Macaca mulatta: one gene and its partner. The protein of the gene in region 2 interacts with the protein of the main gene of each other region in a pairwise test. Links are inferred from orthologs where the notes say so. Each region holds a gene or a part of one and is shown on either strand. Other genes may lie near its edges.

Evidence for each region.
Region 1: the proteins of ATP10B (region 2) and TMEM30A interact in a protein complementation assay, tested with the Homo sapiens proteins (2 studies listed by IntAct, with this or other methods). The link is inferred for Macaca mulatta from reciprocal best matches to the Homo sapiens genes ATP10B and TMEM30A.

The regions. Positions count from the first base shown.
Region 1 is NC_133409.1:110,454,710-110,458,889, forward strand, and holds the start of TMEM30A (cell cycle control protein 50A), read left to right. Parts: upstream 1-1,380; 5' UTR 1,381-1,497; coding exon 1,498-1,734; intron 1,735-4,180. UniProt on the Homo sapiens protein: Accessory component of a P4-ATPase flippase complex which catalyzes the hydrolysis of ATP coupled to the transport of aminophospholipids from the outer to the inner leaflet of various membranes and ensures the maintenance of asymmetric distribution of phospholipids.
Region 2 is NC_133411.1:169,432,896-169,436,395, reverse strand, and holds part of ATP10B (phospholipid-transporting ATPase VB), read left to right. Parts: intron 1-108; coding exon 109-296; intron 297-3,500. UniProt on the Homo sapiens protein: Catalytic component of a P4-ATPase flippase complex, which catalyzes the hydrolysis of ATP coupled to the transport of glucosylceramide (GlcCer) from the outer to the inner leaflet of lysosome membranes.

The sequences.
Region 1 (4,180 bases), on a different chromosome or scaffold from region 2:
GGATTACAGGCCCGGCCACCACACTCGGCTAATTTTGTATTTTTAGTAAAGACGGGCTTTCATCATGTTGGCCAGGCTAGTCTCGAACTCCTGACCTCAGGTGATCCACCCGCCTCGGCCTTCCAAAGTGTTGGGATTACAGGCGTGACCCACGGTGCCCGGCCTAACTGTAAATTATGAGGACCAAGCACTCCTTATTTTCTCTTTCCTCAGTTTAACTTATTTAAGGCATTACTGCAGACTAAGCCTAAAAGTAATTTATTTTCAAATGATGCGACTTACTCTCTGGCCTAGACTTCAAAGATGTCAGTATAATGTGGATTGTATATAATTGTTTAAATTTTACAAATAACATACGCCTATTATAGAAATTTTGGAAAATACAGAAAAGTGCAAAGAAACAGGAAAAAAAAATTCCTCCATCCGGTCAACAGAGTTACCATTATTCACTTTTTAGTTCCGCTCTATATTATACTTCTACAGTCGCTACACTACTCTAATATCCTGACTTAGTCACCTTTTACATCACGAGTATTTCCTTGGGTCATTAAATATCTGGCACTTTTAAAGTGTTTACGGGGTATCTTATTTTGTAGTAATGCTATATGTCCTGGTTTTTACAACAGTAAGAGAAAAAGCTACAGCCTATTACAAAACACTTCCTATATCAATGCGCAAAAGAGAAAGGTGGACATAGAAAAGGGGAAAAGTAACGTGAGAATCAGCAATAGAGAAAAAATAAGTGAGAATCGCTTAATTAGAGGCAAGATAATAGGGCTAAGTCACATTATTGATTCTTGACTTTAGGACAAAAGGGGTACATGTTACGCACCTGTGTTCCAAGTTTATAATTGCACCTTGAATAGCGATTTATTTAATTAAACTCGCGGTTTTACAACCTAAGCAAATACTGCTAATTCTCCCCCGACTCAATCCCCCTTGAGGCCGCCTTTTAAATGCTCCGACTCCCTTCAGAGAAACCCTCGAGGTAAAAAGAAAAACCTGTCTGGCAATCCGGACCTGCAGTCGCCACTATAACCAGAGTAGCAGGCAGGTGTGTGCTAACTAAAGCCACGGCCAACAGAGCAAATATACGCCTACAGCGCAGGCTCGGAATCCCCTAGCTCTAGGGCCGCGCATGCGCCAATGTAGCTTCGCGCTCGGGTGGCTGAGTCCGTCACAGGACAGATGATCAGGGTGCGTCCGCCTTTTCCTTCCCCCTTCTATCCTCCTCCCCTTTCCCCTCCCCTTGTCCCTCCTTCTTCTCCCTCCTCCCTCTCTCCCTCCCTCTGGCGTCTCCAGCCGACTTACGCTTCCTGTCCGCGGCCTTTGGCGGAAGAGTGTCCCGCCTCTTCCGCTCCACAGCGGAGGCGGCTGTGGCGGTGGCCCTGGTGGCGGCGGCGGCGGCAGCGGAGCTCGAGCGGTTCCTGTCAGGGTCAGCCGGCGGGCCCCCTGGGTGGTCCACCTGCAAGTGGCGGAGCGGTGCCCCGGGGATCGATGGCGATGAACTATAACGCGAAGGATGAAGTGGACGGTGGGCCCCCTTGTGCTCCGGGGGGCACCGCGAAGACTCGGAGACCGGATAACACGGCCTTCAAACAGCAACGGCTGCCAGCTTGGCAGCCCATCCTTACGGCTGGCACGGTGCTACCTATTTTCTTCATCATCGGCCTCATCTTCATTCCCATTGGCATTGGCATCTTTGTCACCTCCAACAACATCCGCGAGATCGAGGTGAGGGGAGGGAGCTGTGGTGGGAGTTGGCGTTGCTCGGGAGGACGGTCCTACGCGCCCGCCCCACTCCTTTCCCAGCGCCCTAAAGCCAGTTGACAGGCAGACCCCGCGCCGCCCCCCACCCCCTTCCCTCTGTTTTTTCTTTCTCTTTCTGCGGGTTTCCTGAATTTGCAGCTTTGTCCTAGCTTTGTCTTGCGGTTTACGAAAGAGCAAATCGACGGGATGAGCTGAGACGGAATGAATGTTTAATGCAGAAGATGGGTCAGGTGGAGAACGCTTCTTCAGTAGGCGGTTTGTGTGGTTCCATGGGGGATTAGCGGGGGTTGTTCACGGAGGTAAAAAGAGAAGTGGGGGCGGGGGCAATTGTAGCTAGGTAGATGCAACCCTGAGTGAATTGACAGGGTCAAAAGTGTCATTACCTTTGTGGGCGTTATCCGAAGACACAGAGATGAACACCTTGGCCATTGTTGGGAAAAGAACCAGAGTCGTAGAGGTATTGACGATTCTAATATAAAGAAGCTGTCGCATGTTATCAGGTCACGTATGAGGACTTACGACAAATGTGCATAGTACTTTTCATTTTGAGCTAATTCGATATTTTCAGTTGTGGGGCAAGATACACAGGAAAGATAACCTGAAACTTCAATTCTGGTTTTGCTTTTAGGCTACGTTTATTAATGGGCCCTACATTTGCTGGTCTTTTTTTTTTTTTTTTTTTTTTTTTTTTACAAAAAGAGCCAGTGACCACATTCAGGGAGTAAGTTGTCCACTGTCTACCAAACATTTTACTGATACTAACTTTGCTGAATATGTAAGACATGACAGGAAAACTTGGGGAAACATTTCTTTGTCAGAAGCACAGTATCTTTATCTGTAGGGGTGAAGATGGTTGATAGTACACTGTATTAATATATGCTGTATAGGTGTCCAGTATTAAGCATCTCTCATCTTTTCTTGCATATCTGAGAATGTTGTTGTTTTCTAAATCTATTTGAAAGGGCAGGAACTAGTAAGAAGTTCTCTTGATTCCTTCTGTTCTATTTATACACACACACACACATTTTAATAAATATACTTACCTATGTGATTTAATGGGACTTTGAGAGTAATTTTATTTTTAACTACTGAAATAGGGATGGGGTTCCACTTTAATTTGCAGTGTTCTCTCTAAAAGCAAGATTCATGTGTTTTGTAATTCTACAGTGCTTACTTCAGTGTTGACGACAGTAATGAGAATAGTATCTATAGCATAACTAGTTTTAAAATTTTTTACTAAAAATTTATTCTCAATTTAATAACTAAAGAGTTACAGTATTTTTTTCAGCATGTATTTTAGTTTGTTTTATCACCTTAATCTCCCTAATAATCCTGCAAATGTAGTACTTCTTGTTCTAACCATACTAGGATCACACATTATATTAGTATATGGGCAAAGTGGTGTCATGCAAGGAACATGGGCATTGGCTGGGGTCAGGCAGAGCTGGTTTTAAATTCTAGCTCAGCTACTAACCATCTCAGTTTCTTGGAAAATTTCCTTAATCTCTCTGAGCTTCAGTTTCCTGCAAAATAGGTAGAATAATTCATATCTTCTAAGGTGTGAGAATTAGAAGCAATGTAAATAAGATGTCTGGCAGTAGGGATCTGTCTCCTGATCCTTAATCAGGAGATGAGAAAGAGTTTGAGATTTGACAGTAAACTAGTTAAGAGTATTATAAAAAATGAGACAGAAACTCAGGTGTCTTGACTCCCAGCTTTAAGCTTTCACCCTACACTAAGATCCTTACTGCAATGTTAATAAAGTAGAAGAAAATAATTTAACATCTGAAATTTGAATGATTTTATTTAAACTTCTTAAGATAAGAGGAAAATAGCAATAATTTGGAATTGTGTATAAGTTAGTATTTTCAGAGCTCAACTTCCATTAATATTTACCATAGTAGAAAAATAAATGTTTAACTTTTCTTAAAATCTTTGGGTTTTGGAGTAAAATAAGGTTCCTCACACTAAGTAGTAGACAAAATAGAAATTTTTCAAATAGCTCTCATGTGTAATTCTGATTTCAAGTTGCCTGAAGAATCTGCTGCAGCTTAGCCTGGTTAAAAGGGCACTGAAGAGTCAGGGAATTAGGGTTGAAATCCCACCTCTGTCACTCTGTACTTTGTGATCTTAGGTATAATTTTGAGTCCAGTTTCTTTACTTGAAGAACCAAAAGATTCAGATTAAACTGCCTCTAAGAGGCTGTTCAACTCTAAAATTCTATGATATCCAATTCAAATGTGATTTTTAAAAAACTGGATGTGTTTAAATTGTATTGCCTTTGGAGCAAGAGGAAATGAAAACTAAGAATAATTTAGAATTTTTTACTGACAATGAACATACAGTTGTGCAGACAGAATCCACATATGTATTTTTAAAGTTTGGATGCTGGATATATAGAGAAATGCTT
Region 2 (3,500 bases):
GTGTTGCATTTCAAAAATAGTTTGAAACAAAGTTAACCAAGTAGTTTGATTACCCTGCCTCCTAATCTCAGTTTACCTTCAACAGTGTTTGCTTCTTTCCCTCCACAGACCATTTTCCACGGAGTCGTGCTCCTCGGCAGCTTCCTGACGTACTTTCTGGTATCTCTCCTGTACAATGCCACCTGTGTCACCTGCAACAGCCCCACCAATCCCTATTGGGTGATGGAAGGCCAGCTGTCAAACCCCACTTTCTACCTCGTCTGCTTTCTCACACCAGTTGTTGCTCTTCTCCCAAGGTTTGAGCACTGGGGCTGTGTTTCTTTCCTAAAATTACCAATCTCCCTTTAATAAGATATTTTTAAAACCCAAGAGTCAGGAGTTTGGCTTCTGCTGGGATCCTTGAGGCTACTGTTTCAGAAACAGAGAGGTGGGACAGAAAGAATGATGAATGACCAAGGAGGCAAATAACATGGACTGTGGTCCCAGGTTAGCCACAAAGTAGCGAAGTCACCAAATCAGTGTGACCTCCGTTGTGACATCTATAAAATGGGAGTATCAATTCCTACCCTCCTGCCTTACAAATATTTTTGTGTTATAAGGAATTATTTTGAGAAGCTCTGTGGTCCTTTTTTGTATTAGTCCAGGAGTCTCATACTCAAATGCCTACAAGGACAGGCCAGCAAGTTCAGCAAGCCAGATGGAGTACAGACACTGGAAGAAAGAGCTTCTCAGCTTCTATCATGGACACAAGGAAAGATCAAGTCAAACATTTCAGAGCTTCAGAGTTTTCCCAGAAATTCAAATTTTGCATGAAATTGCCAACATTTAAGTATTATTCAAATTTGTTTAAACACACACTTTCCACACAAGACCTGCATTAGACAAATTATCCATGCCCAGGGACTATGTCAGATATTTCCAAGTTAAACCCTCTACAGTAAATGTACCTTTTCCAGAAAAATAGCAAGAGCAACTATAAATGCCTTGACTTTCCTTGGAGCTCACTCTTGACGTAGGCTCTCCCATCTAGTCTCTCATTTTGTTTTTGCCATGAGCTAAGTGTTGGGCAGATCTATGGCTCTAGTACCCCGCTCATGGGATGGCTGAAGTACCAAGAGGGACCAGAATGTGTTCACAGGCCTACCACTGATCACAGTGGGAGCTAGGTTCTCCCAACTCAAAGGCCAGTGTTCTATTCTGCAGCCCACACTCTCTAGTCAAAGCAGTGAACTTGACGATGATGTGCCCACAGGCAAGACTTAGCCTCTTTCCATCCCTAGGATCTCACCACTCCGAACATCGCAATCAAGTCATTTTATCATTTTAAGCGATAGCAAATAGACAATTATACAAAACTTTTTTTATCCCAAAATTAGATACCCATCAACAGGCCTTACTTCCTTTAATAAGTTTGGTGGTTTGCTTAACCTAGTTTCTCTTGCCCCTAGGTTCTCTTGCCCCCAAGTTCTCTTGTCTTCTAACTTTATGTTCTCTCCATAAACAGCAATAACTGTCATGAATTTAAAAATTATTTTTAGCAGACGACTCTTCATCATAAATTCCCAGCCCAGACCTCTTTTATGAATTCCAGACACATCTTTCTAGCTACCTATTCATCACCTTCACTGGGCATATTAAGTCTGAGGAAACTGGGAGACATTTCTAATTGAATTCATGATTCCACCCTCTATCACCAGCACCACCCCAGAAATCTGGGTACCTCTCTAGAGTTTCTTTCAGCAAATGCTACCCACTTAGGACAAAGGCAGGCCCCGAGGAATTATTCTTGACATCACCTGCTAACCCACGCCCACGTCTAGCCTTTCACCAAGTACTGACAGTTCTATCCACTATGTATTTCTCAAACTCATCTATTTCCATTTCTACGGCCACTGCTACCAATAGACTATTACCCTTTCACCCCAAATTATTTCAGTAGTCTCCTATTAGATCTTACTCTTGTCCATTATTGTTGGTCCAAAGTGTGATGTCACCTATTTATAACCCTCCAAGGGCTTCCCAAGACCTCTGCAGTAAAGCACAAAAATCATAAACCTGGCCCACAATTCCTCCCTGCTCTGCTTGTGCCAACCCCTCCTGGGTCATATTCCCCTACTTTTATCACCACTCCCCAAGCTTCAGCCATCGTGCCTAGGTTTTGATTCTCATCCCCTTGGCATGGCTACCTCCTATGCATCCTGCAGTTTTCAGCTTTAAAAGGTTACTCTGTGTAAACCTTTCCCCAAGCCACCACCTTCCTCCTCCATTCATTTTTTCAGCAAATACTTTTCAAGTCCCCACAATGGGCCAGGCCCCCAAAGGATTAAGCCATGAACACAAAAGACAAGCTTTTTGCTGTCATGTAACATGTGAATATAGTTATAAATGGGGGGGGCATTTCCTCAAGGAAGAAACATTTAAGGGCTGATAGGGTATGGGTTTGAGAAATACATAGCGGGTGGAACTGTCAGCACTTCCTTCCTTGAGGAAGAAACACTTAATTTTAGTGATCAGGTGTTTGACACTCTCATTGCCTTCTCCATTTATAACTATATTCACATGTTACATGACAGCAAGGACCTTGTCTTTCCTGTTCATGGCTTAATCCCTTGGGGGCCTGGCCCGTTGTGGGAGCTTGAAAAGCATTTGTTGAATAAACCAATAGAGGAGGAAGGCAGTGGCTCAAGGAAAAGGTTTACACTACGGAAATTCCAGTTTTAAAGCAAAAAGTCAAATATTTCCTGGGACACATACATGGCCTTACTACCTCACTGGGTGAGATGTGAGAGAATGAAAACAATTTATCTGGTTCCATGAGATCTACTGTAATTTTCAGAAATCTCTTGCCTACTGGCAGAGGTTGGCTGGGCAGGGGTGGGAGGGTCACCCTGCAGCTTTTAGACATAGTGGAAGAATAGGAGCCTTCCTGCTTATAAGACTTCAAACAAAAAATTTTTAAAGACTATCTTTGGGAATGACCTTAGACGTCCTCCAGGCCAGATAGATTCCTTTTTAGATAAGGCAACGGACATCTGGAAAGTGGATGTGAGTTGCCCACTGCCACGGCTTGTGTATATTTTCTCCATACACCACATAGTTTTATTCACATTCTTACCCCTTTCCTTGCCTACACTTTGAACAGAGAGAAGATTCTAGACATAGATAAAGACTTCCAATTCCAGGCCGGGCACAATGGCTCACGCCTGTAATCCCAGCACTTTGGGGAGGCCGAGGCGGGCGGATCACAAGGTCAGGAGATCGAGACCATCCTGGCTATCACAGTGAAACCCCGTCTCTATTAAAAATAAAAAATAAAAAAATTAGCCGGGCATAGTGGTGGATGCCTGTAGTCCCAGCTACTCAGGAGGCTGAGGCAGGAGAATGGCGTGAACCCGGGAGGCGGAGCTTGCAGTGAGCCGAGATCGCGCCACTGCACTCCAGCCTGGGTGACAGAGCGAGACTCCGTCTCAAAAACAAAAAAAGATTTCCAATTCCAGAGT